Callithrix jacchus: one gene and its partners. The protein of the gene in region 5 interacts with the protein of the main gene of each other region in a biochemical or structural test. Links are inferred from orthologs where the notes say so. Each region holds a gene or a part of one and is shown on either strand. Other genes may lie near its edges. The genes, in order: YWHAQ, PRKACA, PAK1, AKT1, BAD, BCL2 and BCL2L2.

The links.
Region 1: the proteins of BAD (region 5) and YWHAQ form a complex in vitro, tested with the Homo sapiens proteins (2 studies listed by BioGRID). The link is inferred for Callithrix jacchus from reciprocal best matches to the Homo sapiens genes BAD and YWHAQ.
Region 2: the proteins of BAD (region 5) and PRKACA form a complex in vitro, tested with the Homo sapiens proteins (2 studies listed by BioGRID, with this or other methods). The link is inferred for Callithrix jacchus from reciprocal best matches to the Homo sapiens genes BAD and PRKACA.
Region 3: of the proteins of BAD (region 5) and PAK1, one has a biochemical effect on the other in vitro, tested with the Homo sapiens proteins (3 studies listed by BioGRID). The link is inferred for Callithrix jacchus from reciprocal best matches to the Homo sapiens genes BAD and PAK1.
Region 4: of the proteins of BAD (region 5) and AKT1, one has a biochemical effect on the other in vitro, tested with the Homo sapiens proteins (6 studies listed by BioGRID, with this or other methods). The link is inferred for Callithrix jacchus from reciprocal best matches to the Homo sapiens genes BAD and AKT1.
Region 6: the proteins of BAD (region 5) and BCL2 form a complex in vitro, tested with the Homo sapiens proteins (5 studies listed by BioGRID and IntAct, with this or other methods). The link is inferred for Callithrix jacchus from reciprocal best matches to the Homo sapiens genes BAD and BCL2.
Region 7: the proteins of BAD (region 5) and BCL2L2 interact in a biophysical measurement, tested with the Homo sapiens proteins (4 studies listed by BioGRID and IntAct, with this or other methods). The link is inferred for Callithrix jacchus from reciprocal best matches to the Homo sapiens genes BAD and BCL2L2.

Annotation. Positions count from the first base shown.
Region 1 is NC_133515.1:105,347,839-105,352,062, reverse strand, and holds the start of YWHAQ (14-3-3 protein theta), read right to left. Parts: upstream 2,801-4,224; 5' UTR 2,723-2,800; intron 2,312-2,722; 5' UTR 2,230-2,311; coding exon 1,936-2,229; intron 1-1,935. UniProt on the Homo sapiens protein: Adapter protein implicated in the regulation of a large spectrum of both general and specialized signaling pathways. Binds to a large number of partners, usually by recognition of a phosphoserine or phosphothreonine motif.
Region 2 is NC_133523.1:12,873,214-12,876,713, reverse strand, and holds part of PRKACA (cAMP-dependent protein kinase catalytic subunit alpha), read left to right. Parts: coding exon 1-55; intron 56-3,171; coding exon 3,172-3,336; intron 3,337-3,500.
Region 3 is NC_133511.1:63,616,968-63,620,467, forward strand, and holds part of PAK1 (serine/threonine-protein kinase PAK 1), read left to right. Parts: intron 1-344; coding exon 345-482; intron 483-3,500. UniProt on the Homo sapiens protein: Protein kinase involved in intracellular signaling pathways downstream of integrins and receptor-type kinases that plays an important role in cytoskeleton dynamics, in cell adhesion, migration, proliferation, apoptosis, mitosis, and in vesicle-mediated transport processes.
Region 4 is NC_133509.1:139,660,245-139,664,229, reverse strand, and holds the start of AKT1 (RAC-alpha serine/threonine-protein kinase), read left to right. Parts: upstream 1-1,185; 5' UTR 1,186-1,269; coding exon 1,270-1,315; intron 1,316-3,985. UniProt on the Homo sapiens protein: AKT1 is one of 3 closely related serine/threonine-protein kinases (AKT1, AKT2 and AKT3) called the AKT kinase, and which regulate many processes including metabolism, proliferation, cell survival, growth and angiogenesis.
Region 5 is NC_133511.1:121,342,697-121,346,935, reverse strand, and holds the start of BAD (bcl2-associated agonist of cell death), read left to right. Parts: upstream 1-1,439; 5' UTR 1,440-1,929; coding exon 1,930-1,975; exon of another isoform or gene 1,976-2,059; intron 2,060-2,146; exon of another isoform or gene 2,147-2,269; intron 2,270-2,505; coding exon 2,506-2,700; intron 2,701-4,239. Other genes in the region: integral membrane protein GPR137, read right to left, coding at 1-348. UniProt on the Homo sapiens protein: Promotes cell death. Successfully competes for the binding to Bcl-X(L), Bcl-2 and Bcl-W, thereby affecting the level of heterodimerization of these proteins with BAX. Can reverse the death repressor activity of Bcl-X(L), but not that of Bcl-2.
Region 6 is NC_133514.1:106,292,019-106,296,128, reverse strand, and holds the start of BCL2 (apoptosis regulator Bcl-2), read left to right. Parts: upstream 1-1,310; 5' UTR 1,311-2,207; intron 2,208-2,430; 5' UTR 2,431-2,713; coding exon 2,714-3,301; intron 3,302-4,110. UniProt on the Homo sapiens protein: Suppresses apoptosis in a variety of cell systems including factor-dependent lymphohematopoietic and neural cells. Regulates cell death by controlling the mitochondrial membrane permeability. Appears to function in a feedback loop system with caspases.
Region 7 is NC_133509.1:57,649,357-57,653,528, forward strand, and holds the start of BCL2L2 (bcl-2-like protein 2), read left to right. Parts: upstream 1-1,372; 5' UTR 1,373-1,475; exon of another isoform or gene 1,476-1,481; intron 1,482-1,724; 5' UTR 1,725-1,812; intron 1,813-2,280; 5' UTR 2,281-2,288; coding exon 2,289-2,720; intron 2,721-3,332; coding exon of another isoform or gene 3,333-3,482; exon of another isoform or gene 3,483-4,172. UniProt on the Homo sapiens protein: Promotes cell survival. Blocks dexamethasone-induced apoptosis. Mediates survival of postmitotic Sertoli cells by suppressing death-promoting activity of BAX.

The DNA of each region.
Region 1 (4,224 bases), on a different chromosome or scaffold from region 5:
AGAAAGCTCTCAATACAGTTGCCAACTTGAAGAAGTGCTTTCCCAAGATAGGCTGGCCACCAAGCCACGATTAGCCTCTTAAGCCATTTTATGAATATTTAATTTATGCCTTGGTGTCTCAGATTCATCAAGGTAAAGTATTCTATCTCTTCTTAGTATATAAAAGAGACGGTCCTAAATTCAGGGGTTCTCTCCTATTGAAATGATCTGTATGAGAGTTCTAATAATACCTGGTCTCTCTCTCAAGCTACACATCAACTAAACAAAACTCTCCCCCAACTTATGCCATCATAAAAAGTAAAATTTGTAAGAGCCACAAAATAAAACAAATATTCCTTTGACTCAGAGTCACCTTGATGGAGAAAAAGAAAAATTATGTGGCGATTCTGAATTGCCTCAAGGTTACTAACTGCAAAGTAATAGTCTTTTCAGAAAGAGACTGAAATATATGCTGTGAGAGCACCCAAAATACATATACAGAAAACCCTGTTAACATGGAATTCTTGAGTCTTTCCTTGGTAACAGATAATGCTGTTAACAGCCATTACCATATGTTATTGAAGGTGAAGTCTACCATTACTTTCAAGCGGGCAAATTTTTTTTAATACAAGCAATTCAGTCCAAAGAACTTTTACAAGGGCTTCTGCAACGTCAAACAGGGACTGGAAGCTAAGAACACACGATGAATAAAACAAAGTTTTGACTTCATAAAGTAAATAACCTCAAGCTTTCTCCACTTCAGTGCGCACTCTGTCTGCATTACTTTCTTTGCCCCTTTACCAGCTATTTCCATCCACCATGGTTTTGTTCGGAGCGCCTGTCGTCGTATTAGAAAAATAGGTTAAAATAGTTCTGTGGATTTTTTTTTTAAACAAGGAGTTGGGGAGGGAGCCAGAGCGAAATTATTTTTTCTATTCCCTTTTGAAAAAAAAAAAAAAAATCACCAGTCTAGCATGCCAAAGCCCACCTAAAATACGATGTGCACAAACACATAAAAAGTCAGTAGGCCTCATGTAAAAGTGGCACTTAAAGAGAGGCAAATCATGTCAGATTATTTCCTATTTTATTCAAAGAAATGACTGCAGCACTGAAACGTTTAAAAAACACTCCTGCATATAATACTGGTATTTCAATTTTAAAAACTTATCTAACTGATCAAAAGATTCGTGCAATGACAAAGCTAAAAATGTTCTCTCTCACTAATAAGGGTGAATCACACCAGCCACCTACTCCACCCAACAATCACCCTTGCTAAGGCTGGACAGTTCAAAACCTGGAAAGCTTGCTCCAAACCAGAAACGAATTCGCTTCAACACTAGTGCACAGCTACGCGACAGCAAAGAAATGTTACTAAACGTTGAAATTTACCAGGACATTGTGTTCTTCAGATAGAGCTGTGCCCTTTTAACATTTACCCAACTCCCCCATCTCTCCTGTTTATAAGGGGTGGGGGGCGCAACAGACATTCTTACTAGAAAAATGAAGTAACTGCTCAGATTTTCGAAGTAAATTTCAATTACCGGGTTTGGGGAAAATCCCTACCACACTGTCTAACAAAAAGGTGCCTGCGCCTTCTTTCAACTGCCTGAAGCGGGTGAACCGACTCAATACATTTAAACGGCTCAGAGATCTCGGGACACAGTCTCCCGGCACAAAAAACTTACAACCGCCTTTCAGCCTCGCAGAGACCTACTTGGATGTTTCCAAATTCCATCGTTTGGTAGCTACCCAGCATCTGGGAAAAGAGATGGACTTGTCCTTGGAAAAGCGGTTTCGGGAGTCTCCAGAACCAGGGAAGCCAGGGCTCGCCTGAAACCCTCCACCTCGGCAGACAGTCCGGCAAGGTCCGGCTCACGTTTCCTTGCTTGCCCGCGAAACTCTCGATGAAAAGCACCCCACAAAAGGCCTCCCCCGCTCCCCGCGCCGAGGACTCACCAGGACCGTGGTGCAGATGGATCTGAGCTCGGACTCCACTTTCTCCCGATAGTCCTTAATCAGCTGCAACTTCTTGTCGGAGGTGTCGGTCTTCTGCTCGATGCTCGAGATGACCCTCCAGGCGGACCTGCGGCCCCCGACCACGTTCTTGTAGGCCACGGAGAGCAGGTTGCGCTCCTCGTTGGACAGCTCGGCGCCCTGCTCGGTCACTGCCTTCATGCAGGTGGCCATGTCGTCGTAGCGCTCGGCCTGCTCGGCCAGCTTGGCCTTCTGGATCAGCTCCGTCTTCTCCATGGCGGGCGCAGGGCCGGGGCCGGGGCGAAGGGTGAGGAGAGCGAGGGCGAGCGCCGACCCGGAGCGGGAGGAGACTCAAGAGCTGCGGAGGGGCGGGGCGGCGAGGCGAGAACAAAAAGCAGGGAGGGAGCGCCGTCAGACAATGCGACCCGCTGCCCGCTTTTGTCTCCTGCACACGCGGCCGCTTGAATTTCCCTCTCCCCAGTCCCAGCCCCCGCCCCCGTCAGGCGCCCGGAGAGGCCGCGGCCCGCGGCAGGAGGAGGCGGGGGCGGCACGGAGGCCCCGCGCGCGGGAAGCCCGAGCCGCGGCCGCTCCCGCCACCCCCGCCCGGCCGGCCCAAGATGGAAGCGACCGTTGGCCCCGCACCTTCCCGCCCAGAGCTGTCCCTGAGGGGAGCGGCGTCGACAGCCCGCCGCTCCCAAGGGCGGCGCCTCAGCCGGGCCCTCAAGCCCAGAGCGGCCGGAGGAGGCCCGCGGCCAACCCAGATGCTCACCTTCACGTCTCCGCGGCCGCGACGCGAGTCCCACCACTTTGATCTGCCTTTGGCTTTAGCCGAGGACCCTCCCGTCTCAGCCTACCCCGGAGCCGAGGGGCGGTCCGCCGCCCAATTACGCGCCGAGCTTGCCCCGAGAGTCCCGCCCCCCGACGCGCCACGGGCCAGTGAGGACCGAGCGCGCGGAAGGGGGCGAGGGGGCGGGGCGGGAGGGAACGCGGAGGCTAGGAGGGTGGGTCGGCGCGGGGAAGTTCGGTTGGCCGGCAGGCTGCGGCTCCGGCCACGGGGTTTCCTCCAATTAGATCCAGGGTAAAAGGACGTCACTGTTGCCATGGTGATGCCGTTACCAACTCCCCTCAGCCTCCCCGCCACCCCGGCACTTCTGGGTGCGGCACGAGACCCAGAGGCGCGCACGACCTCCGAGGCGGCGGCCGCGTCTCCCGCTGCGGATGGTGCATTGCATCTCGCGGGCTCCGGCCGAGGCTGGACTTGGGAGGGTGACATAATCGGCTGTTTGGAGCACAGGGGCCTTTCTTTCCTCCACCTTTCCCTCCGTGACAAAGGTTTGGATCCCAAGACACTAAACCCAGACGTTAACGACGTTGCCACTAGGGTTCCGAATTCAGCAAACCACATCCCCATTAAAGAAGAATTGATTCATGGAGACATTGGCTTCAGTATGGCATTTACATGATACATTCAAGTTTTCAGATGGGCACCTAAAACAAAAAAATTCCCTTATGAAAAGGTATGTCCCAGAAGATCCAGGCGAGTCTCTGCGGTTTTCTTTAAAATGGGGAATGCCAGTAAGCACAATTTGCAGGGAAACACCTATAACTACCCCTCCCCCCCAAAAAAAGCCTGCCCATAACATCTCCCTCCCCAAAAATCAATTTTTATGTTTCTTTCAGGCTTTCCAGGTTATGCGTCTAAATACATAATTTTTCACATCATTGTCGCCTGTGCACACGCTTTTCGTTTCTGGTATTATTTGTGAGAGGACACTTGAAAATCTGAAATCCTCTCCCTGGGTATTGATTTCTGATTTTCTTCTCCTGGGGAACACCCTGCTGAAGTGGGGAAGATTTCCCCAGGCTCCTCCCATTCAGGGTCATCCCTGGCATCTCACTTTCCTTTTAAAGCACTCCTGTCTCTCCTGGCACTTCCCCAGTGCCCTCACTCCATCCAGGTAGGGTGACTGTCCTGCCCTTCTGGTGAGTGGCCTTTGTGCCATCTTAGGATGAGAATTGCCATCTGGGTTCACACTGCTCTGATCCCTATTCCAGCAGGTCTAGGGAGAATGGATCATTGAAGGGCCAAGAATGCCACAGGCAAGAAAGAATTTCCCATTCTCAGTGGAGACTGCAGCGAATCTAGAGAATCTCTAGAATGGAAGATCTGAGAGTGCAGACAGATGGGAGGAGAAGGTGCCGACTTTCCAGAAATTCAGACTCCCTCGTGGCTGCCCCTCCCTGTCCTGACTTGTAAAGGTTGCTTTGTGC
Region 2 (3,500 bases), on a different chromosome or scaffold from region 5:
GCCCTTCTTCGCAGACCAGCCCATCCAGATCTATGAGAAGATCGTCTCTGGAAAGGTGAGGCCTGGATGAGGGGCACAGTCCTGAAAGAATGAGACAGTCCCTTCCCCGCTCACCCATCCTACTCTCTGGGGAGCCCTGCTTGTTGTCAGAATCACCTAGAAGTTCCGTAAGTCAGGCCAGGTGGTGAAGCTGGATGTGCCAATACCATGAGCCCCCTGGCTGTCCAGCGCCAACCCCACGGTTCCAGAATCCCAGGGGCTTCCAAAATCCCGAGCCTCACGGGAACTTCCCTGCTGCAAAACACAAACCACCTTGCCAGGCGACCCTCCTCACCTCTCCTTGTCCCCGTCAGTGTGAGTTTTCGCAAGTTCCAAGATGTATTTGGTTCCCAGGTGCAGTCTGCAGCCTCACCAGGAAGGACCCTCGCTTAGGGTTTAAGGCCCATGCTTCCTCTCGAAAACACAGATTTGTCAAACTCTGAAAGTTCAGATTAAGGGTGGTAAAACCATGTAAGCTTGTATCTGTGACAGGTGCAAAGTGCCTGCCATCTGCCAGGCCCCAGATTCACCCCCCTCAGTCACACCCTGAGATGGTGGCACCCTCTGTAGGAGAGGTGAGGAAACTGGCTGGGAAAAGAGATGTGTCCTGACCAAGATCACACCTTAGTGAGTAAGAGGAGTCATCATAGGCACTGATGGCCAGAGAGGTTGGGGACCCCACCTCTGCCCTCAGCTCAGCCACCTTGCTGGGAGGACCCAGCCATCCTCCGACCTGGTCCAGCATCTCCTACATAGGAGCTTCTGGTCGGCCCAGAGTCACCACACCCGGTGGGAGCACCCTCAGGCTCAGCCTGGGCCCAGTGCTGGCTTTGAAACTTTGGGGCTGGGTGCAATGGCTCACGCCTGTAATCACACCACCTTGGGAGGTGGAGGCTTGAGGCCAGGAGTTCCAGACAAGCCAGGGCAACATAGCCAGACCCCATCTCTTTAAAAAATAAAATCTAAAAATTAGCTGGGCATGATGGTGCACCCCTAGTCCCAGCTAATCGGGAGGCTGAGGCAGGAGGATCATTTGAGCCCAAAAGATCAAGGCTGCAATGAGCTGTGATTGCACCACTGCAATCCAGCCTGGGCTAAGAGCCAGATCCTGTCTTAAAAAAATTCAGGCAACTGGGGTTCTCTGGTTAGACACATAGCATCACTAAAAGGGAAAGATGGAAGGCCAGGCACAGTGCCTCACACCTGTAACCCCAGCACTTTGGGAGGCCAAGGCAGGTAGATCACGAGGTCAGGGGTTCAAGACCAGCCTGGCCAAAATGGTGAAACCCCATCTCTACTAAAAATACAAAAAATTAACCAGGCATGGTGACGGGTGCCTATAATCCCAGCCACTAGGGAGGCTGAGGCAGAGAATTGCTTGAACCCAGGAGGCGGAGGTTGCAGTGAGCTGAGATTGCACCACTCCACTCCAGCCTGGGCAACAGAGCAAGACTCCATCTCTCAAAAAAAAAAGAAAAAAAGAAAAGGAAAGATGAGGCATTTGCCACTAGGCCGAATAGAAATTGCCAAGAAAATGGCCCAGAGTGGGAAAAAATGGAGAAAAAAGCCACAGAAGATCCCACAGGGGAAGACGCACATGATGCCCTTCTTTGTAGCATTTTCCAGTCCCCCCGCACCCTCAGTGGTATTATCTTCCTCGTGCAGCCCTGAGAGGTTAAGGGCCATGGCCAAGGTCACACAGCATGTAAGAGGCACAGCAGGAACAAGAAGTCATTTCTTGCAACTATAACTCCAGTGACGACTTGTCTACAAGGCTATGTACTCAGAACGTTTGGGGAAGATTTCTACAAGAGTTGGGCTGGGCTTTAAAGAATGGAAGAGACTTAGCTAGGCAGGGAGAGAGGGAAAAACGTTTAACATAAGCATGACTATTTCAGAAGTCTACAGACCCCAGCACAGATGGCTTACGGCAGCAGTAGCTGAGAATGCAAGTTCTAGAGTCCCACAGACCTGAGATGGAATTGCCCCGTCCCACTCCTCAGCGTGACCTTTGAAGAGTTCTTTAACCCTTCCAAGCCTCAGTTTCCCCTTCTCTGAAATGGAAACCATAATAGCACTTGCCTTATGGTTGTTAAAGGGGACTCCTTTCCAGCAGGACTATTGCTGGGGAATTGGCTAGAAATGCAGACTTTTGGGCCAGCCACGATGGCTCACACCTGTAATCCTAGCACTTTGGGAGGCCAAGGTGGGTGGATCACCTGAGGTCAGGAGTTCGAGACCAGCCTGACCAATATGGCAAAACTCTGTCTCTAGTAAAAATATAAAAATTAGCTGGGTCTCGTGGCGTGCGCCTGTAATCCCAGCTACTTGGGAGGCTGAGACAGGAGAATTGGTTGAACCCAGGAGGCGGAGGTTACAATGAGCTGAGATTGCGCCACTGCACTCCAGCATGGGTGACAAAGTGAGACTCTGCCTCAAAGAAAAAAAAAAAAATGCAGATTCTTGTTGGGTGTGGTGGTTCATGCATATAATCCCAGTACTTTGTGATGCCGAAGCAGGATCATTTGAGCCTTGGAGTTCGAGACCAGCGTGGGCATCGTAGCGAGACCCTGTCTCTACAAACACTTTTTTTTTTTTGAGACAGAGTCCTGCTCTGTCGCCCAGGCTGGAGTGCAGTGGCACAATCTCGGCTCACTGCAACCTCCACCTTCTGGGTTCAAGCAATTCTCCTGCTTCAGCCTCTGGAGTAGCTGGGACTACAGGCACGCACCACCATGCCCAGCTAATTTTTGTATTTTTAGTAGAGCTGGGGTTTCACCATGTTGGCCAGGCTGGTCTCAAACTCCTGACCTTGTGATCTGCCCACCTCAGCCTCCCAAAGTGCTAGGATTACAGGCGTGAGCCACTGTGCCCAGCCAAAAACTTCTTAGAGTAACTAGCTCTTTAATTTTTAAAAAGTTGTTTGAGAAATGCATATTCTCAGGCCACAGTATCAGACTTCCTAAACCAGAAACTCTAGGGTGGGCCCAAGGAGCTGTTTTACAGGATGCCAGCAGGCACTCAGCTTTGGAGGCACCCACCCAGTAGGACTGCTGGATGGAGAAGGAAGCATCCTGGGCTCCCCAAGTTCCAGAGCAGCTTCCCACCCTGTCCTTGTACCCCTTCCTCCAGGTGCGGTTCCCTTCCCACTTCAGCTCTGACTTGAAGGACCTCCTGCGGAACCTCCTGCAGGTAGATCTCACCAAGCGCTTTGGGAACCTCAAGAATGGGGTCAACGATATCAAGAACCACAAGTGGTTTGCCACGACTGACTGGATCGCCATCTACCAGAGGAAGGTGGGCCTCCCCTCCTTAAGCCTGCTGAAGATTTGGGGGCAGGCCAAGAGTCAGGGAGGACAACCAACAGAGAGATAGAAAGGGAAGAGGGCCAGGCTCAGAGGCTCACGCCTGTCATCCCAGCACTTTGGGACGCCAGGGTGGGTGAATCACCTGAGGTCAGA
Region 3 (3,500 bases), about 58 Mb from region 5:
TCAAAAAAAAAATATAATAATAAACCCTTAGTTCTGTAACATTTCATAAGTTTACAAAGTACTTTTAAATACACTATCTTATTTTTACAGACATATGAGATGGGCATTATCATCATCCCTACTTTACAGACAGGGAAGTTGGAAGTTCAGTGGCTTGCACATAGTCTCATGGCCTTCAAATGTAAAACCTGATCCTTATGTTATACTCTTTCAAGTATGTATACACAGCTGCTGCTTTGCATCCTAGAGCATAAAGCAGCTGACTGTATTTCTAGAATGTGTATATGGGGAACAAGAGAGAACCTCAGTTGGAGCTCAAGGTGATTTACCATCTTTATTGCCAGGCCTTGTACCTCATTGCCACCAATGGGACCCCAGAACTTCAGAACCCAGAGAAGCTGTCAGCTATCTTCCGGGACTTTCTGAACCGCTGTCTTGAGATGGATGTGGAGAAGAGAGGTTCAGCTAAAGAGCTGCTGCAGGTAACTGTCCCTATGCAGGGAAGCACCAAATTTAAGGAATCACTAAATCAAGCCTTTTTTACTTCATGTTTTTCTATAAGGTAGTGGATATTATAGAACTAGGCTTCTCTTCTACCACTTCCCACATTCACTCTGTTCCTACTGCCCTAACTTTTATCCCTGGGACTTTGCTCATACTCTTTTCTTAGCCTCTTCCTGTACACATTCTCCTAGGCTCAGTTTACAATCTATTTTCTGAGCACACTGAGCTTTCCATGTAGCTTTCTTGCTTGCTTGCTTCCTTTCCTTTCTTTTCTTTCTCTTTCCTTTTCTTCCCTTTCTCCTCTCCCTCTCCCTCTCCTCCCTTTGTTTTCCATTTTTTTTTCTCCATAGGGTCTTACTCTCTTACCCAGGCTGGAGTGTGCGATGACGTGATCTTGGCTCACTGCAGTCTTCCTCTCCTGGGCTCACTTAAGTGATCTTCCCACCTCAGCCTCCCAAGTCGCTGGGACTATAGGTGCACACCACCATGCCTGGCTAATTTTTTAAAAAACTTCTTTGTAGAGACAGGGTTTTGCTATGTTGGCCAGGCTGGTCACAAATTGCTGGGTTCAAGCAATCGGCCTACCTTGGCTTTACAAAGTGCTGGGACTACAAGCATGAGCCACTGTGCCCATCCTGCTTGTATTTTTCATTAGCACTTCCTATGTTCTGTTTGAATTAGTCTGGCAGTTTGTTTGAGTCTTGATGAGAAACAGCTCTCTAACAACCAAATCCTACACAAGTTATATTTTGCTGGGATTAACTCAAAGGATACATTTTTAGCAAAGGAATGTAAGTTTTATTTATGTTTTATTTTTTGAGACAGGGTCTCTATTGCCCAGGCTGGAGTGCAGTGGAGCAATCATGGCTCACTGCAGCCTCAACCTCTCCAGGTTCTGCTGATCCTCTCACCTCAGCCTCCAGAGTAGCTCGGACTGCAGGCATGTACCACCATGCCTGCCTAATTTTTTATTTTTTTGTAGAGACAGGGTTTTGTCATGTTGCCCAGGCTAGGCTCAACAATCTGCCCGCCACAGCCTCCCAAAGTGCTGGAATTACAGGCATGGCATGAGCAACTACACCCATCCATGGAACATAAGTTTAGAAGATAATTAGTGAGTATGGCTTTTGGAGTCTTTACACTTTCTTCATTGGAAATCCTCAGATGATGGCATTGATACTCTACTTGTTGAGTAAGATTTTGCCAGTTTGTGGGGAAATTCGGAGTCAGGGATTTACCAGGCCTTTTATTCTCCCACTTGCCTAAACCTGATAATTTTATATGGTTGCAAAAATTGCCTTTGGCAGGCCACATCATTTGTATTTAACATGTATGTTTCAAGTACAATTTCTTATAACTAGAGTTCTTTTATTGTATTGCCCACTGGTGATTTAATAGTAAGTATCACATGCAACTTTATGAAGGCATGCACTGTCATTTACTTTTATATTATGAAGCCCAGGAGTGACAGAGCAGGGCAGGGCAGGACCTAGCATATTGCCCTGTGTTAAAGTTAGTTATGAGTCTCTTTCCTACTGTATTATAACCTCTATTTTATTAATCCCTCAGTCTCATGTTTTACCTAGGACCTGACTCAGGATGGGTACTTAGAAAATATTTATTGAATTGAATGGAATTGCTGGAATAACCTACATTGGAATATCACCTTCTGTAACATATTTAGCATCTCTTTGTAATTGAGGTTACTGATTATGGAGCATTGGCCTATTAGGTAAAGAGATCTGGGTTCTGCCAAGGGTAACCCATTAGTCTCTAGTATCTGTTGGGACTACAAGTCTCTTAGTACAATGTACTAAGAACTCTTGCTGTTCATAAGAGTTGTATTCTAGAAATTGTAGGTACTGGAAAATGTGTAAATACTGTATGCTAAGCCTGTGATTAGTAGAGATGCCATTGTTGGTTAATTACCAAATTATAGTTCTTAAAAAGTTCATGCCCTCTAAAGTTTTCTTCCTGATATGGTAATATAAATAGTAATAAATGCATTATATTGAATCTTTACTATATTTTAGGCACTAAACCCTTTATATATTTAGGTGCTAAACACTTTATGTATTAGCTTTCAAAACAACTCTGTGAGTTGTAGGTTCTGTTATTCTCTTTTTTTTTTTTTTGAGATGGAGTCTTGCTCTGTCTTCCAGGCTGGAGTGCAATGCTGCAATCTCAGCTCACTGCAACCTCCATCTACTAGGTTCAAGCGATTCTCCTGCCTCAGCCTCCCAAGTAGCTGGGATTACAGGCTTGTACCACCACACTCAGCTAATTTTTGTATTTTTAGTAGAGATGAGGTTTCACCATGTTGGCCAAGCTGGTCTTGTACTCCTGACCTCATGATCCACCTACTTGACCTCCCAAAGTGCTGGGATTACAGGCAAGAGTCACTGCACCCAGCCAGTTATTCTCTTTTTTTTTTTTTTTTTTTTGAGACAGAGTCTCACTCTGTTGCCCAGGCTGCAGTGCAATGCTGCAATCTTGGCTCACTGCAACCTAAACCTCCTGGGTTCAAGCAATTCTCCTGACGCAGCTTCCCCAGTAGCTGGGATTACAGGTGCCTGCCACAACACCCAGGTAATTTTGTAGTTTTAGTAGAGACAGGGTTTCACCATGCTGGCCAGGCTGGTCTTGAATTCCTGACCTCAGGTGATCTGCCTGCCTCAACCTCCTAAAGTGCTGGGATTACAGGCTTCAGCCACCGCACCAGCAGTTATTGTCATTTTTACAGATGAGGAAACTGAGGTTTCAAGTGTTTAGTAACTTTTCCATTATAGCTGATAAGTGGTAGATTCAGGATTTCAGCCTGTTTGGCTCTCAATTGTGTATGCTCTTGGCCACTGCTCTTATAGGCTCAAAGAGTATCACAACTAGAAAGCCCTCAGGGCTCATCTAGTCTGTTTTGTTTATTAGACAGAGAAGGAAACTGAGGCCTCCCAGTTCAGTGTTGGATCATGCTGCTCTCAACTTAGTGGAATTGTAGA
Region 4 (3,985 bases), on a different chromosome or scaffold from region 5:
AGAAAGGTGGCCTGGCGGCAGGGAGAGAGGTCGCCAGGGGTCTCTGCCTGGCCTAGAGGTCCCAGAGAGGACCCTCCTCCCCTCAGGAAGGTCTCTCTGGAAGGGTAGCAGAGGACTGGTCCCAGGAAGAGCATGCCACATGCTGTTTCTGGGGATGCCTGGAGTTGGTGATATGGGAACTGGGTTTTGAGGGATGCCTAGGAGTTCATCCATCAGAGGGGAAATGAGGAAGCCGTACAGGATCAATGGCCTAAGTGTGCTCAGGTGAGGGCTGGCTGGTGGGCACTTCAGGGTGGGCACTGCTGGAGGGCACTGTCCAGTGCTCCTCCACTTACTTGCTGCCTCCCAACTGCTGTAATTACGGGTCTGTAAGCACCCTGGACTGGGCGCTCCTCACTGACAGACTTGTCTGAACCTCTCTGTCTTCAGCACCCGGCAGTGGGCCTGGCAAAACGCCTGGTACACGTTGGTCAAATGAATGAACCAGATTCAGACCGACAGGGGCGCTGTGGTTTAGGAGGGGCCTGGGGTTTCTCCCAGGAGGATTTTGGGATCTCCCCGGAGGGCTCTGGGCTCCCGTTTGCGCCTGCAGCCTGCATCCTGGTCCTGCCTTCATCATGCCTGAGTTTCTTTGCTTTCCTAGTCTGGGGAGCAGGGAGGAGCCCTGTGCTCTGTCCCAGGATCCTTGGGGAGGAACACCACAGACAGGGAGAGCAAATGGGGCCATCTGTCACCAGGGGCTTAGGGAAGGCCGAGCCAGCCTGGGCCAAGATGGTGAAAGGGGCTGCCTGGAGGAGGCAGCCTGTCAGCTGGTGCAGCATATTAGGGAGGCTGGGAAGGCCTTTTGGGGAAAGAGGTGATTTGTCTAAAGGCAGGGGGAGGTGGGAAAGGGGGGTGAGCAAGGCAGCAGCTCTCAGGGCCTGGCTGTTGGGGTGGCCACAGCGGCAGGGGCCGCCGGCTCTGAGCCAGGAAACTGTTCAATTACTTGGCAGCCTGAGTGTTTTGGGGAGAGGTAAGGCAGGCCGGCACATGGGGGTCAGGGAGCCTAAAGGGATGGCAGCTCCCCTGGGAAGGCAGGTGTGGTGGAGCTCAGGCGCATGCGGTGGGTCTCGGGCTCATTCGGGGCGAGGAGCTGTCCTTGTCCAGTCACGGCCTCATACACAGCTCCCTTTACTTCTCCCAGAGGCTGTGGTCAGGTCAGCTGGGCTCGGGGATCAGCGGCCTGAGAGGAGTGCGTGAGCGTAGAGGGAGCCTCGGGCACCGGGCACCATGAGCGACGTGGCTATTGTGAAGGAGGGTTGGCTGCACAAACGAGGTCAGTGCCGGGGCTGGGCCTGGGGAGGGAGGGACGGGGGTGGCCGCGGGGTCTGAGTGCCTGTACTCAGGCCTGTTGGCTGGGACAGGCTGCCCCCCCCCCGGGGCTCCTGGCTGGCCTAGGGTGAGTATCTGGGGTCCCATGTCTTCCCATAGCTTGGAGGGCCTGGCCTAGGGAGGCTGGGAGGATGAGGCCCCGTGCAGGGCCAGCCATCACAGTGGTTTCCTGGTGCAGGCCCTTGCAGGCAGGGGAGCTGCTGCCAGCCTCTCTTTCCTGGAAGGCGGTGAGGACGCTGGGTTGTTCCAGTGCCTGGCACGCTGGCGGCCCGGGGCACTGCCCAAGGGCTCCTGAGGGCAGGGCAGGGCAGGGCTGCTTGGCTTGGCCTGGTGCCTGCTTCAGGCCTGAGTTTTGGGGGTGGGGGGGAATCCGTACCACATGGGCACAGGGTATGTTTGCCTTGGAGCTGCAGAGCTGCGTGAGCCCAGGCCCCCCCAGCCCCTGAGTCCTCCTCCTCATTTGGCCCTGCAGCCCATGGAGAGGGTGCTGGCCGAGGGGGCCTGGCCAGAAACTGGTGGGATGGGAGCTGGGGCCACAGCCTCACCCCTTCCAACCCTGTGCAGGCCCTTCTGCCTTGCCCACCGTCCATGCTCAGTGGGGTGCAGAGGAGGCTGGATGGCTGTCAGACTCCTCTGTCCCGCTGGGGCAGGTTCCTGTTCAGGTCCAGGTCCTTTGGACCTGGGGCAGTTACCTTCTGCTTCTTTTTCCAGACCTGTTCCCTCCTAAGTTCTAGTGATCTCATGCCAGCAGCCCACCCCTCTTTACATACACCCTCTAGCAGATGGATTTCACATGTGCTAGTGGGGAGACCCCAGACACAGCTGGAGCAGACAGGGAAGACTGGCAAAAGTGGGTGTCACAAGATGGGGCATTGTGGGATGTATAGGAGCTCACTGCAGAACAGGCCTGAGAAGCCACAGGAGCCTGGGAGTGGGGTGAAGGAGTGACCAAGATGAGATGCCAGGGGTTTGGGGGTGTGGTCAGCTGTGGGTTTGGAGTGTTCGAGTGGGCAGCTACCAGGATGGCACGCGGGACCTGGAGACAGAGACAAGGAGGCTGCAGAGCCTGCAGTCCTTGGGGAGCTTCTGACGTGGCTTGCTGCCCAGCATACCGTCTCCATCCCCCGCCCTTGCTGTCCCTGCTTGTTCCCCAGGAGTCCTGTTCCCTGTGCCTGGAGGTACTCTGTTGCCTTGCCTCACAGCCCTCTGGTGTCGGGGACCCCCTGCTCCTATCCTGTGCCTCTGTGTCCCGCACGCCCTGCTGCTTGGAGCTGCCGCTTCCTCATCCTCGGCAAATGTTTGTTTGTTGATGGACTGTTGGATTCAGGGCTGACCCAGGAGATGCCAGGGCCTCGACTGCCCAGGGGCCCAGGCCCAGTTACTGGGGCACCCATCAGCCAGCTGGGCCCAGGCCGGGGTACTTGTCTGAGGCCTGGGTGAGTTTCAGTTTTCTGCTCAGGTCATACCTTCGGGAGGGGCCTGGCGGAGACGGGACATCAGGCCCAGTGGGGCATCCAGAGAGCTGAGTTTGACCCCTGTTTGCCACTCCACCACAGTGTCCCTTTCCAAGGGCAAGTTCATATAGCGCCTCAGGCCTCGGTTTCCCCATCTACACCAGGGTGCAGTGGTGGGAGGGAGACCTTGTGGTGTGGAGAATGGCTTGTGGGGTCCCTGAGTTGGGGTCCAGCCAGCGTCTGCAGCCTCTGGGCTCTGTCGCCTGGCCCCCAGCCTCAGGCCAGGAGAGAGGGTCCTGGACCTCTCCCCGCAGCTCTTCCTCCCCCATCCCCGGTATAGTGGGCACTGAGGATGCGAGGTAGCGTGGATGTAACATATGCCCTTGGCAGGCACGGCCTCTCTTGTTGCCGAGAGCAGGCGGGCTTCCACCTGCAAGGCCGGCCCTGCTTGCCGAGGAAAGCCTGTCCTCCAGGGCCTGCCTCGTTTTCCCACTCCCTGTACCCCGGGTCCCCTGTGTGTTGCAAATGTGCTCTGCCATCCTGCTGGCAGGGCCAGCGTACCCACAACACAGGTTGGAGGTGCCAGCTGTCTCCCTGTCCCTAGCAGGGCTGTGCTGGGCGGCCCCCACCCCTGCTTCAGGGCTCAGGCCTGGCTGGGGGCGGGAAGCAGGGAGAGTTGCAGTGACTATCCTCCGGGCCCAGCCACAGCCCCTCGCAGGTGCCCTTTGCTGCTCCTGGACTTTCCGCGCAGGGTAGGGCGCTGTCCCGGAGTGGGCCCTCGCCCGTTTCCTTTGCCAGGACTCCCCGCGGCCATGGCCTGGGGCACGTTGCTTCTCCGCTGAACTCCTAGGCGACAGTTCCGCCACGGCTGCTTGGGCTGGCCACGCATGACGTGATGGTGCCTTCGGGGGTGCTGTGGCCGCTAAGATGAGTGGGGGTGGCTGTGCCCTGTGTGTGAGTGGCTGGGTGGCCGTGTCTGCAGAGCCCAGGCGCAGCTCCTTCTCCTGCCTCTTGGGAGGCAGGTGTCGTCTCTGGAGAGTGGCCCAGGCTGCTTTCTGTTGTTCTGAGGTGTGTGCTCTGGGTCAGAGGAGCTTCAGGGGCAGAAGGGACCTGGCATGAGGACATGGGCGTTCCAGCTCCAGGCCTATGTGGACCTGTGG
Region 5 (4,239 bases):
GTAGAGGTTCATAAGCGTCAGGGTGAAGAACTGCAGGCAGACAGGGCAGCAGTAGAGAAGCCAAAAGGGCAAGGGCCCCAGGCGGTTGGCTCGGGGAGTATCTCGGAAGTAGAAGGAGAAGAGGGTGGTACGCAAGGCAGCCCAGAGCAGACAGAGGGCCAGGAACACCGTCTGATAGCTGAGACGCTTGTGCCCATACAGGAGCACCAGCCAGAGCTGGGCATAGACGGAGAAGAAGAGCAGGGCATACAGGGTGGTGTAGGCGGCTGTCAGCCCCAGGGTCACAGCAGGTGGCAGCGCAGGCACCAGCCCGGCAGCAGGCACCAGGCCAGACAGGTTACTCTCCATGTCAGGGAGGGAGGCCTGAATCCCTGAGACAGAGAAGGAGGGGCTGTCGGCGGGGCCAAGGAAATAAATACGGAGGGGTGGGAATTGCAGGGTGCAGAGAGGGAGATGGGGCGCTCAGGAGGAAAGAAGTTGTGGCTGACAGACCTCTCCTCCTCAACAGAGAGACCCCTGCCCTTGGGGAACATGGGCAGCCTGGGCCCCAGGCCCCTCACTCAGGGGCATGGAAGGGCAGTTTCTTCTCTCCAGGGCAGATCGGTTGAGGGTTGGTGGTGTCTCCTCCCTGGGCCTACCCCAGAGCCAGTGATGGAGGGAAGCAGAGGCCCAAGGAAAGGAGTCCCTGGCCTGAATCGCTCGTGTCGTCCTGGCTGGAGGGGGAGAGCCGGCCGATGCCCGTTGGCCCAGGGCAGCGGCCGCTATCGGGGGCGCCCAATGCCCCGCTCTCCCCCTCCCCAAGTTGGGGGAGGCTCTCTCCTCCAATAATGCGGATGGGGAGAGCCTCTGCCTTCTGTCCTCGGAATTCTCGGAGGCTGCCCCCGCCCCACCCCTCCACCGCGTCCACTCTCCAGCGTCAAGGGGCGGGAGGAGGCGGATGCCAGGTCCTCAGGCCGCTGCTGGGAGAGCCGGCTCAGATCGTGGGGACCCGGGGCTCCGGCTCCCCGGCTCCCGCTGCTCCGCCCCCTCCTGCGCCTGCGCGGGCGCCGTTCGCTACGCAAATTGCGCAGGGGCCGGGCTGGCTCCGCAGTCTAGCGCCGCACCCGGCGTGGAGCCGTTCGAGAATTGGCACGAGCTGCGCCGCTGGCGGGCGCCCGGGGTTACAGGAGGCGGCAGGCGGGCGGCCGAGTTGCGGGGGACTGTGCCGCACACAGGGGACCCCCGGGTAGGCCGCGCCCCGGGCCGCCAGCCTTTACTAGTTCGGGGGGCCGCCAGTTCCCACGCTTCTCTCCCCCATCCCCAAATTGGGGTCTTGCCTCCCGGCCGGGGACAACGAATCCCCGACCCTCGGTCTCTAAAGAAAACTTCCGCCCATAGCCAAGATGGCTTCCGGGCCCCGCCCCCGGGTCTGAACCCGCGGAGCCCCGAATCCCCCGCGCGGGCCCGCCCCCCGTCCTGGCGCGCCCGCGGCCCCGCTCACCTGGCCTGCCGCCTGCCAGGCGCGAAGCCCCCGCGGGCCCTACGGTCCACCCTCACTGGGTCCCCGGCCCTCCTCCCGCGCCCGGGCAGCCATCCCAGCCAGGGAGGAGGTTCCCTCCCTTATCTCCAGTGCCCCCGAGATGGCGCGGGAGGTGTCCCCCGAGGCGGGCGGCGCGAAGCTTCCACGCCTGGGAGGAGGAGCGGGGAACGGGACTTTCCGACCGGGTCACCCAGTCCAGGCGAAGCAGTAACAATAGCAACAATAATCGCATCCGACGGCTGAGCTTCAGTTGCGGCTGTGCCGAGCGCCTTCGCCCGTAGTAATCACTCCTTTCACAAAGTTTTCACTGGCTCCCGGGAGAGCTGTCACCATCCCCTCTTCACTGGAGGTAAACTAAGGCCCAGAGGGGCTGAAGGACTTGTCTGCAGAAGCAGGTCTCCAGGTTCCAAATGGGGACCCCAGAGAATCCCTCTCCTGCTCCTACACACATCCAAGGTGTGAGGCAGTAGGGATGTGAGAACCCGGGCCGCGGGAGGTAGGAAAAAGGCGGTGGGCTAGGAGGTCGGGACGAGGGGGGGCGGGGCCGGGCCGGGTTGACCCCGCCTCTGGACCTACCCGAGTGACGTTGCGAGAGGTGATTGGGGCAGGTCGCTGACAGTTCCCGTTGCCCAGGCAACTAGGGCCGGGAGCCCGGTTGCAGGAGGGAGGCGGCAGGCCCGGGTCAGGGGCCTCGAGATCGGGCTTGGGGTGAGACCTGTCCGCCGTCACCACGGGCGGGGCGGGACCTGGGTAGGCCCCTGGGTAGGGGCCTGGGTCCACCAGGGTTCTGACGGGAGACTGAGGTCCTGAGCCGACAGCCTCAGCTCCCTGCCAGGCCAGACCCAGCAGACAGATGAGGGCCCGGGAGGCCTGGCGGGCTTCGGGGCGCCAGGGTGGGAGAGGGAGCCAGGGGCACCTGCCTCTGCCTTCCAGGACCACCGTTGGCCCCAGCTGTGCCTTGACTACCTAACATCTTGTCCTCACAGCCCAGAGCATGTTCCAGATCCCAGAGTTTGAGCCGAGTGAGCAGGAAGACTCCAGCTCTGCAGAGAGGGGCCTGAGCCCCAGCACCGCAGGGGACAGGCCCCCAGGCTCTGGCAAGCATCGACGCCAGGCCCCAGGCCTCCCGGGGGACGCCAGTCACCAGCAGGGACAGTCAACCAGCAGCAGCCACCATGGAGGTGAGTTCCCCTCCGCCTCCACCTGCTGGGTCGCCTCACTTCCAGCCCATTGGCTCCCTGCATCCCAGCTGCATCCACACGCACTGAAGGCTTCGGGGCAGTCCCCAACCTCTCAGAGCCTCAGTTTCCTCTTTTGTAAAACAGAGCAATTAATCACCACCATTGTAGGACTGTTGGGTTAATTAGCAGGAACATATAGGATTCACTTGATTACAGAGCTGGTGCACATTAAAGTGGCAAAATGGCAGCTGCTGGGCCTGGTGGCTCACACCTGTAATCCCAGCACGTGGGGAGGCCAAGGCAGGAGGATCGCTTGAGCCCAGAAGTTCAAGGTGAGCCTGGGTGACATAGGGAGACTCCATCTCTTAAAATACATACATATATATATAATGGGTAGCTATTAGTGTGGGGCCAGGATAGAAATCAGTGACAGGCAGGCAGTGATGCAAAAAGGAAAAGTGACTTGCCTAAGGTTACACTTGCCTGGGGTTTCCTTCCTTAGGAGGTGGGGCTGGAAGGCTCCTTGGTGCCCTGCCCCAGGCTATGTGCTTTCCCTGGGATTGGGCCTTCCAGCTCCCGGGTGTGTTGTCTTGTCCTGTGGCTCGCACCCACAGCAAGGCTGTCCTGGTACAATTGCCAGGAGCAGGTGACCTCAAGGGGCAGACAGTCCTCCCAGACAGCGGGGCTATGTGTGGTGGGGAGCACAAGCTGCAAGATGGAAGGATGAATGAACACTGGGGGTCACGGCCATTTCTCAATAGGCTCCACTACCTTGTGCCCAGCACTGGCCTGGAACAACAACAGATAATTTCGGAACAAAGAAACTAGGTCAATCCGGGTGGGGTGGCACATGTCTGTAGTCCCAGCTACTCAGGAGGCTGGCTTGAGCCCAGGGATTCAAGACCAGCCTGGGCAATTCAGCCAGACCCCATCTCTAAAAATAGAAAACTAGGTCAGGTCACTATTGCACTGAAGCTTAAACGACCTCCTCCCCATTTTCAGGATTAAGAAGGCTTAAGAGGCCTCCTCCCTCTCCCTCTCTTACCACACACACTCACTCCCTTCCTCAGATTGGACCCTATAACTTGCTTTTTTTCTCTTTTCTTTTTTTTTTTTTGAGACAGGGTCTCACTCTGTCATCCGGGAGGGAGTACAGAGGTGCAATCTCAGCTCACTGCAGCCTGGAACTTCTGGGCTTAAGTGATCCTCCTACCCCAACTTCCCAAGTAACTGGGAATACAGGTGTGTGGACCACACCCAGTTAAATTATTTTTCACTTTTTCTTTTTCTTTTTAAAGATGAACTCTCACTCTCTTGCCCAGGCTGGAGTGCTAGGCCTCCAGGTGCAAGCTAGGAGTTAGCTAGGACTTCAGGTGCAAGCCACCACGCCTGGCTAATTTTGTGTATTTTTAGTAGAGACAGGGTTTCACCCTGTTAGTGGGTATGGTCTTGATCCGACCCCGATTTAGCCTCCCGAAGTGCTGGGATTACACTCATGAGCTACCACCCTTGGCATTTTTCGCTTTTTCATTAGAGACG
Region 6 (4,110 bases), on a different chromosome or scaffold from region 5:
TCCGATGAATTTAAAACTGATTGCACTTACACACGTCTGCGAGTGTGGATGTGTATATATCTGCGTACATCATTTGAGAAAGTGCGGCCATCTAGGATTGGCTACAAGGCAAAGGTGGAGAAAGGTGGAGACCTTTAGGAGCCCACCCACCCCAGCGTTAGGACGGTGGGCCCGAAAGTTACTATGCAGAACTCTTCAGCGTGCAGCCCTGACCCAGTGCAGAACGTGTTAGGGACAGAGGAACAACACGGACTTAAATTATTTTAAAGCCCTTGATAACCCCTCGCTGGCTCCTTCCGTGGAGCGCTGAGTTCTGCCTGGCCTTGGCCACGTACTGGATATTCACGGGGACACCGGCGAGAATGCGCGCGCGTGTGTAGTGCGCCGACACCTAGTAATCCACTTGAAAGTAAACACTACGCTGGGGGCGTCCCTGGATATTGCTTAAAACGTTTCAGAGTCGCCTGTTTTCACCGCAGGGCAGAGCTAAGGTCCCCCTGCTTGGGGGTGGGGGGTGGGGGTGGCATTGGCCTGGGTCTTCCCCCGGGGGCAGAGCGCGGGTAACATGGCGTGTGTGTGTGTGTGTGTGTGTGTAGGCGCGTGTACACACACACGGCTAGAAAGGGTCCAGGCGACACACACACACACATACACTCACTCTCTCACTCTCTCTCTCTCTCTCTCTCTCTCTCTCTCAGTCGGCTAGAAAGGGTCCAGGCGGTTCCCGGCGCTTTTCCAGCCCTTGTTTTCATGGCGCACCCTCCCGCCAGCCGCCCCCCTCCGCTCTCCGTCGCCGGCCGGGCCGCGTGCGGTTCCCCGGCAGCCCCCACCCCCTCGCGGACCCCGAGGTCCGCGCCCGGCCCTCCACAGGCCTGAGCAGAAGGCCCGCTCACACCCACCGCGCCGCGGCCGCGCGGGAGGCCTGCGCCGCCCGCGCAACCCGCGCCACCCACCGGCCGGGCCGGGCGAACGCAGCGGAACGGGCGGGTGGCCGGCCCGGGTGCGCCCTCCCCGGTCGCGGCCCCGCGCGCCATGTGCCCCCGGTGGGGTGCGCCGCTCCCGGGCCCGCCGCGGCGCCTTTAACCCGGGCCAGCGAGCGGGGCGGAGGGGGCGGTCGGGCGGCTCAGAGGAGGGCTCTTTCTTTCTTCTTTTTTTGAATGAACCGTGTGACGTTACGCACAGGAAACCGGTCGGGCTATGCGGAGAATGAAGTAAGAGGACAGACACCCCCGCCCCGCGCCCGCCCCCTTCCTCCCGCGCCCGCCCCTCTGCGCCGCCAGCCCGCCCGCCGCGCCGCCCGCTCGCCGCTCGCCTTGGCCCCGCCGCGCCGCCGCCGCCGCCGCTGCCAGCGAAGGTGCCGGGGCGCCGGGCCCTCCCCGCCGGCGGCCGTCTGCGCTCGGAGCGGGCTGCGCGGCGGGAGCTCCGGGAGGCGGCCGCAGCCAGCGCCGTCGCGCAGGAGCAGGAGGAGGAGAAAGGGTGCGCAGCCCGGAGGCGGGGTGCGCCGGTGGGGTGCAGCGGAAGAAGGGGGTCCAGGGGGGAGAACTTCGTAGCAGTCGTCCTTTTTAGGAAAAGAGGGAAAAAATAAAGCCCTCCCCCACCACCTCCTTCTCCCCACCCCTCGCCGCACCACACACAGCGCGGGCTTCTAGCGCTCGGCACCGGCGGGCCAGGCGCGTCCTGCCTTCATTTATCCAGCAGCTTTTCGGAAAATGCATTCGCTGTTCGGAGTTTAATCAGAAGAGGATTGCTGCCCCCGTCCCCGGCTCCTCCGTCGTCCCCCCTCCCCTGTCTCTCTGCCGGGGAGGCGTGAAGCGGTCCGGTGGATAGAGATTCATGCCTGTGCCCGCGCGTGTATGCGCGCGTGTAAATTGCCGAGAAGGGGAAAACATCACAGGACTTCTGCGAATACCGGACTGAAAATTGTAATTCATCTGCCGCCGCCGCTGCCTTTTTTTCTCGAGCTCTTGAGATCTCCAGTTGGGATTCCTGCGGATTGACATTTCTGTGAAGCAGAAGTCTGGGAATCGATCTGGAAATCCTCCTAATTTTTACTCCCCCTCCCCCCGACTTCTGATTCATTGGGAAGTTTCAAAGCAGCTATAACCGGAGAGTGCTGAAGATTGATGGGATTGTTGCCTTATGCATTTGTTTTGGTTTTACAAAAAAGGAAACTTGACAGAGGATCATGCTGTTCTTAAAAAATACAAGTAAGTTCTCTGCACAGGAAATTGGCTTAATGTAACTTTCAATGAAAACATTTGAGAATTTTTACTTAAAGTGCATTCGAGTAAATTTAATTTCCAGGCAGTTTAATACATTCTTTTTAGCCGTGTTACTTGTAGTGCGTATGCCCTGCTTTCAGCCAGGGCATACAGGAAAATGCACCTGATTTTTTTAACTTATGAGTTTGTTTCTTCTTTAACCTTTCAGCATCACGGAGGAAGTAGACTGATATTAACAATGCTTACTACTAACGTGCCTCATGAAATAAAGATCCGAAAGGAATTGGAATAAAAATTTCCTGCGTCTCATGCCAAGGGGGAAACACCAGAATCAAGTGTTCCGCGTGACTGAAGACACCCCCTCTTCCAAGAATGCAAAGCACATCCAATAAAATAGCTGGATTATAACTCTTCTTCTTTCTTTGGGGGCCGTGGGGTGGGAGCTGGAGCGAGAGGTGCCGTTGGCCCCCGCTGCTTTTCCTCGGGGAAGGATGGCGCACGCTGGGAGAACAGGGTACGATAACCGGGAGATAGTGATGAAGTACATCCACTATAAGCTGTCGCAGAGGGGCTACGAGTGGGATGCCGGAGATGTGGGCGCCGCGCCCCCAGGGGCCGCCCCCGCGGAGGGCATCTTCTCTTCCCAGCCCGGGCACACGCCCGGTCCCGCCGCGCCCCGGGACCCGGTCGCCAGGACCTCGCCGCCGCCGCCCCCAGCCGCCCCCGCCGCCGCCGCCACGGGGCCTACGCTCAGCCCGGTGCCACCTGTGGTCCACCTGACCCTCCGCCAGGCCGGCGACGACTTCTCCCGCCGCTACCGCCGCGACTTCGCCGAGATGTCCAGCCAGCTGCACCTGACGCCCTTCACCGCGCGGGGACGCTTTGCCACGGTGGTGGAGGAGCTCTTCAGGGACGGGGTGAACTGGGGGAGGATTGTGGCCTTCTTTGAGTTCGGTGGGGTCATGTGTGTGGAGAGCGTCAACCGGGAGATGTCGCCCCTGGTGGACAACATCGCCCTGTGGATGACCGAGTACCTGAACCGGCACCTGCACACCTGGATCCAGGATAACGGAGGCTGGGTAGGTGCACGTGGTGATGGGAGTCTGGGCTGAGGCTGCAGGTCCGAGATGTGGGGGTTGGAGTGCGGCGGGTGGGCTCCTGGGGTAAGGGGAGGCTGTGGGGCTGGTGAAATAAAATCAGGGTTGTTGCTTCCCGGCGTCCATAACCTCTTCCTCTGGACAAAGTGTTCTTTCCCAACCTGAGTGATGACGCCTGCCCTCTAAAAGTCTTTAACTTGCTCGCTAGTTGAGGAGGTCCAGTAGGATGTGGTGGTCAATGGTACCCCTTCAGTGTTTCTCGAGCTGGAGGTCCAGGAGTCCCCAGGACCACAGTTTCCTGGCCTGAGCAGCTTGTTGGGACCGGAGGGAGGTTTCAGGGCCTGCTTATGAACCAGATGCCAGGTTGGGTCTTGACAGTCTGCATCCTAAACAAGCTCCCCTGAGACACGCCCCTGGTGCACTTAAATTTGGGAACACCCCAATGAGAAGAACAGACTCCACAGAAGACTAAGGGTACGCTTTTTCTAACTCGGTAAAATTTTCCAAAAGAGGAAAACCAACCTGAGTCCCTTTCCCTGGAAAACTTAGTTGTGTTTGTAAAGAGCTAAATTGACATTCCAAAGTCCTTGCACTGGAATCTCCAGTGTGTGCCATATTTCCAGTGGGCGTGACGCAGTGTCTTGAGGGGTATTGGTCTATGGCTTTGCTACCTCGTCAGTGACAGAATTTGCATCGGCTGCATTCTTTATGTTCTATAATTTGTGTATGAGTTACTAATTCACTAGAATGTTGTTAGAATCTTTTGTTTTTCACTACCTAGAGTCGACATA
Region 7 (4,172 bases), on a different chromosome or scaffold from region 5:
CCATTTCTAAGACAGAGTCTCATGTCACCCAGTCTGGAGTGCAATGGCATGACCTCAGCTGACTGCCACCTCTGCCTCCTGGGTTCAAGTGATTCTTGTGCCTCAGCCTCCTGAGCAGCTGGGATTACAGGTGTGCACCACCACACCTGGCTAATTTTTGTATTTTTAATAGAGATGGGGTTTTGCCATGTTGGTCAGGCTGGAATGGAACTCATGGCCTCAAGTGATCTGCCTGCCTCAGCCTCCCAAAGTGTTGGGATTATAGGAATGAGCCACCAAACCCAGCTAGTTGTTACTATTATTGCTGCAGAAAAGACCTTGCTTCTCTAGTGACCATAAGGGCAGTTGGTAATACCAAGGCTTGGATTGGAGGTAGAAGCAAAGGGAACTAGCAGAAAAAGAGAATTGGATCTCCTCTTTCTGGCCTTTGTTTGGGGTGATGTTTAAATGGAGGAAATGCCAGATCCAAGAGCCCAGGGGGCTGGCTGTGAGTGCCCTCATGTGGATCAGCTGTGGTTAGACTGCTTAACGCCTTGTGGTCTGCCCCATATAAATATACTGCCATGTATAAATAATGGCCGAATATATGTGTAATCTGGAAAGATAAACATCAAGTTTAACACTGGCAACCTGCAGGGAGGGAAGTGGAATGGTGTGTGTGTGTGTGTGTGTGTGTGTGAGTGAACCTGCATTTTATTACTCCGTACCTCTTTATTTGATTTTTTTTTCCATGAGAAGTAGTTCATGTGTTAGGTAAAAAATAAAATAAAATAAAGTAAAATAAATCTATTACAAAAGAATATGAAGAATTAAAGAAAAGGACCAGCAGAAACCGCTTGTGATCCAAGTCCTGGCTCCCTGATGCCTGGCTGAAGCCCAGCCCACAAGCAGAACACTGGGTTAAAGGTCGTGGAGAAAAGAGGATGGGAAAGGTTTGGTGTCTGTGTGGTGTCTGCTAGTCCCAGAAGGGTAAGGCACCTGGCAGGCGGTTTTCAGCTTAATGGGAACTGCTCCTGTTTTCCAGGCACACACAATCCAGGGCTGGAGAAGTTCAACAAGTGCATGGAACATCGGAAACCTCCTGGAAATGCTGAATTTGCCTCGAGATGTCCTGAAGTCCAGCATACTTCTCTGGGCAGCCTCGAGGCTCAGGAACCCAGCCCAGCCCAGCTTACTGTGCCCTCTCAGCCAGTCCTTCTTAGCCTTCAGCAGCCCTCCCTCTTCCTGAGTAGTGGCCCTTCGCAGGCCTGCGTCCCAGCCCCGCCCCTCTCTCTGGACGCATCTCTGGGCCCCATCATCACCCGGCGCCGGGCCCTCCCTCTGCCCCCCCTTTCTCCTCCCTCCTTCCCTCCCTCCTTTCCTCCCTCTCTCCCTCCCTCCCAGCTCCTGCACCAGGAAACGGCCCGGATCCCGGCAGCGGCCTGACCCGTGAGATCCCTAACCTGGCAGGCGGGCGGGGTTGAAGACTGGCTGAGGTGGGGGTAAGGGAGGAGCTGGGCCTTTGGGCTGCACTAGGGGGAACCGGGAATAGAGATGGTGTCGGCAGGAAGCCCTTCGCCCTGGGTTTCCCAGGAGGACAGTCATTAAACATGGATTCGGCCACACAGCTAGTAGAACGTTGGGGGCAGGGGCCCAGGCCCAGAGCTGCAACCCCAGCCCTCCCAGGCCAGACCCTGATCCCTGGCCTTCCCCTCCTGGTTCTGATCTCCCCCTCCCCTTTTCAGGGCTCCACGCTGGCTGGGAGGATGAAAGGCCCCAGCTGGGGGCTCCTTGCCACCAGCGCTGTGTCTTAAGAGCTGCCATCCCGGCTGGGTGAGTGTCTCCTTCCTTTCTCTGTCTGGAGGAACCCATTGCGTCTCCCACCTTTCTCTTCAGCCCATCTGCTCCCCTTCATCTTGTGCCTCTGCCAACATCTTTACATCTTGCATTTGGGGAGGTCCTAAGCCCCTTCCTCTGGCCAAGAAGGTGTGGACTGAGCAGGGGGAGGTGTGTAGGGGTGTCACAGAGCTGACGTTGTCTTATTATGAAAAGAATCTAAAGTGTTCTAAACAAAATTTACTTGTTTTGCATTTAATTTTGCATATTAGGATGTAATGGCCAGCCTATCGAACCCTGGTCCCGCATCATAACTTAATTCCCTTGTTCTTGCCTCTCCCTGTCTAGTGAGCTCTGAGCATTTCCTCCATCCTCCCCATCTCACTGGGTTGGGCAAACCAGAAATTCTCCTTCTGGTTCTCTGTCCATATATTAATGCCAGTCTTTCATCCTTGCCTCTTATAGCTGCCCGGATGGCGACCCCAGCCTCCGCCCCAGACACACGGGCTCTGGTGGCAGACTTTGTAGGTTATAAGCTGAGGCAGAAAGGTTATGTCTGTGGAACTGGCCCCGGGGAGGGCCCAGCAGCTGACCCGCTGCACCAAGCAATGCGGGCAGCTGGAGATGAATTCGAGACCCGCTTCCGGCGCACCTTCTCTGATCTGGCGGCTCAGCTGCATGTGACCCCAGGTTCAGCCCAACAACGCTTCACCCAGGTCTCCGATGAACTTTTCCAAGGGGGTCCCAACTGGGGCCGCCTTGTAGCCTTCTTTGTCTTTGGGGCTGCACTGTGTGCTGAGAGTGTCAACAAGGAGATGGAACCACTGGTGGGACAAGTGCAGGAGTGGATGGTGGCCTACCTGGAGACGCGGCTGGCCGACTGGATCCACAGCAGTGGGGGCTGGGTAAGAAGCTTCTCAATTGCCGCTCTGCACATCCCTCTGCAAAGCTGGTCTCCAGGGGGAAGATGGGGGCTCTGATTGGAGGCTGAGGCAGCTATGTTGGGAATGAGGTATGGGGCTGAGGCTCCCCGTCTGGGTGGAATCAGACTGAGAGATGCCTGGGCTCTGCACTCCAGGGCTGCCATGCAGTCAACACTGGATGGGCTCATGGTCCCAAGCAGAGGGCAGAATATGCACCCAAGGAGTGCCTGCAGGGGAATGGTGTCAGGGACTTTTTGCATCTGAGTCATGGCATGGGAGGTGGGGAGGATCAGGGATGGGGGGTGGTCAGGCAATCCTTGGCAAAGGATGCTAGTTCTGAGCAGAATTTTTCGCCAAGGAAAGGATGGAATTCACTGGAGACAGAGTGGGCAAATGAACCAGTCTCTCAGGGTGGGGGTATGCCTGGGGGGATCAGAGGGGCTTGTAGTAGAGCCTTGACTAGAGAGGAGCTGGGAATGGGGTAGTGCTCGCAGTGAATGGAACTGGAACTCTTCCTCTCCTCTTCTCTCCACTCTTTCCTCTCCTGATATCCCTTTCTCCTTCTTTCTCTCCTACTTCCCTTCTCTCCCACAGGCGGAGTTCACAGCTCTATACGGGGACGGGGCCCTGGAGGAGGCGCGGCGTCTGCGGGAGGGGAACTGGGCATCAGTGAGGACAGTGCTGACAGGGGCCGTGGCACTGGGGGCCCTGGTAACTGTAGGGGCCTTTTTTGCTAGCAAGTGAAAGTCCAGGGCCAGGTGGGGCTAGGTGTGGCTGGGGGTCTGGAGAGCAGGAACAGAACAGAGAAATGCCCTTGGAAGAAGTGGAGTTGGTGGATGGGTGGGCATGGAACAGGGATGGGCAGGGGAAGGGTAGTGTGTAAGGGAGCTGAGTAGGCCAGGTAGGCGATTAGAAGAATGAGCAGGACATAGGGGAGGGGAATGTTTTGGCAAGTTTAGGGGGGCAGGAGATGGAGTCGTTCCAGGGCTGGGGGAGGTGGGAGGGATCATGCCTATAGGTGTGGGCACATGAAACGACCTGGAACTTGGTTTGTAGCCATGAGGAATGTGGACTTGCATAAGCAGTTGTGTTTCCATTGGATGAGTGGAATTTGGGGAACATAGAAGGTACATCCCTTTGGAATGGAAGCTTGAGGGTTCTTGGGCGATAGGGAGAGGTGGCTGTAACCATGGGCTGCTTGGACACACGTGTGCATGTGCACGCATGCTGCTGTGCATGCTGGGCTGCCTGGCAAATCTGGTGGTGGTGGTATTCCCCAAGGAGAAAACATTCCCTCTTGCAATGGCAAGAACTAGGAGCAGTTCTCTGCCCTGCCCCCCACAACCCCTCCTTTCCCTTGCCGTTGTCCTGATGCCTCAAGGCTTAGAGAGAAACATTGTATCCAGACATAGGGCTCTGCTGCTTCTCTCCAGA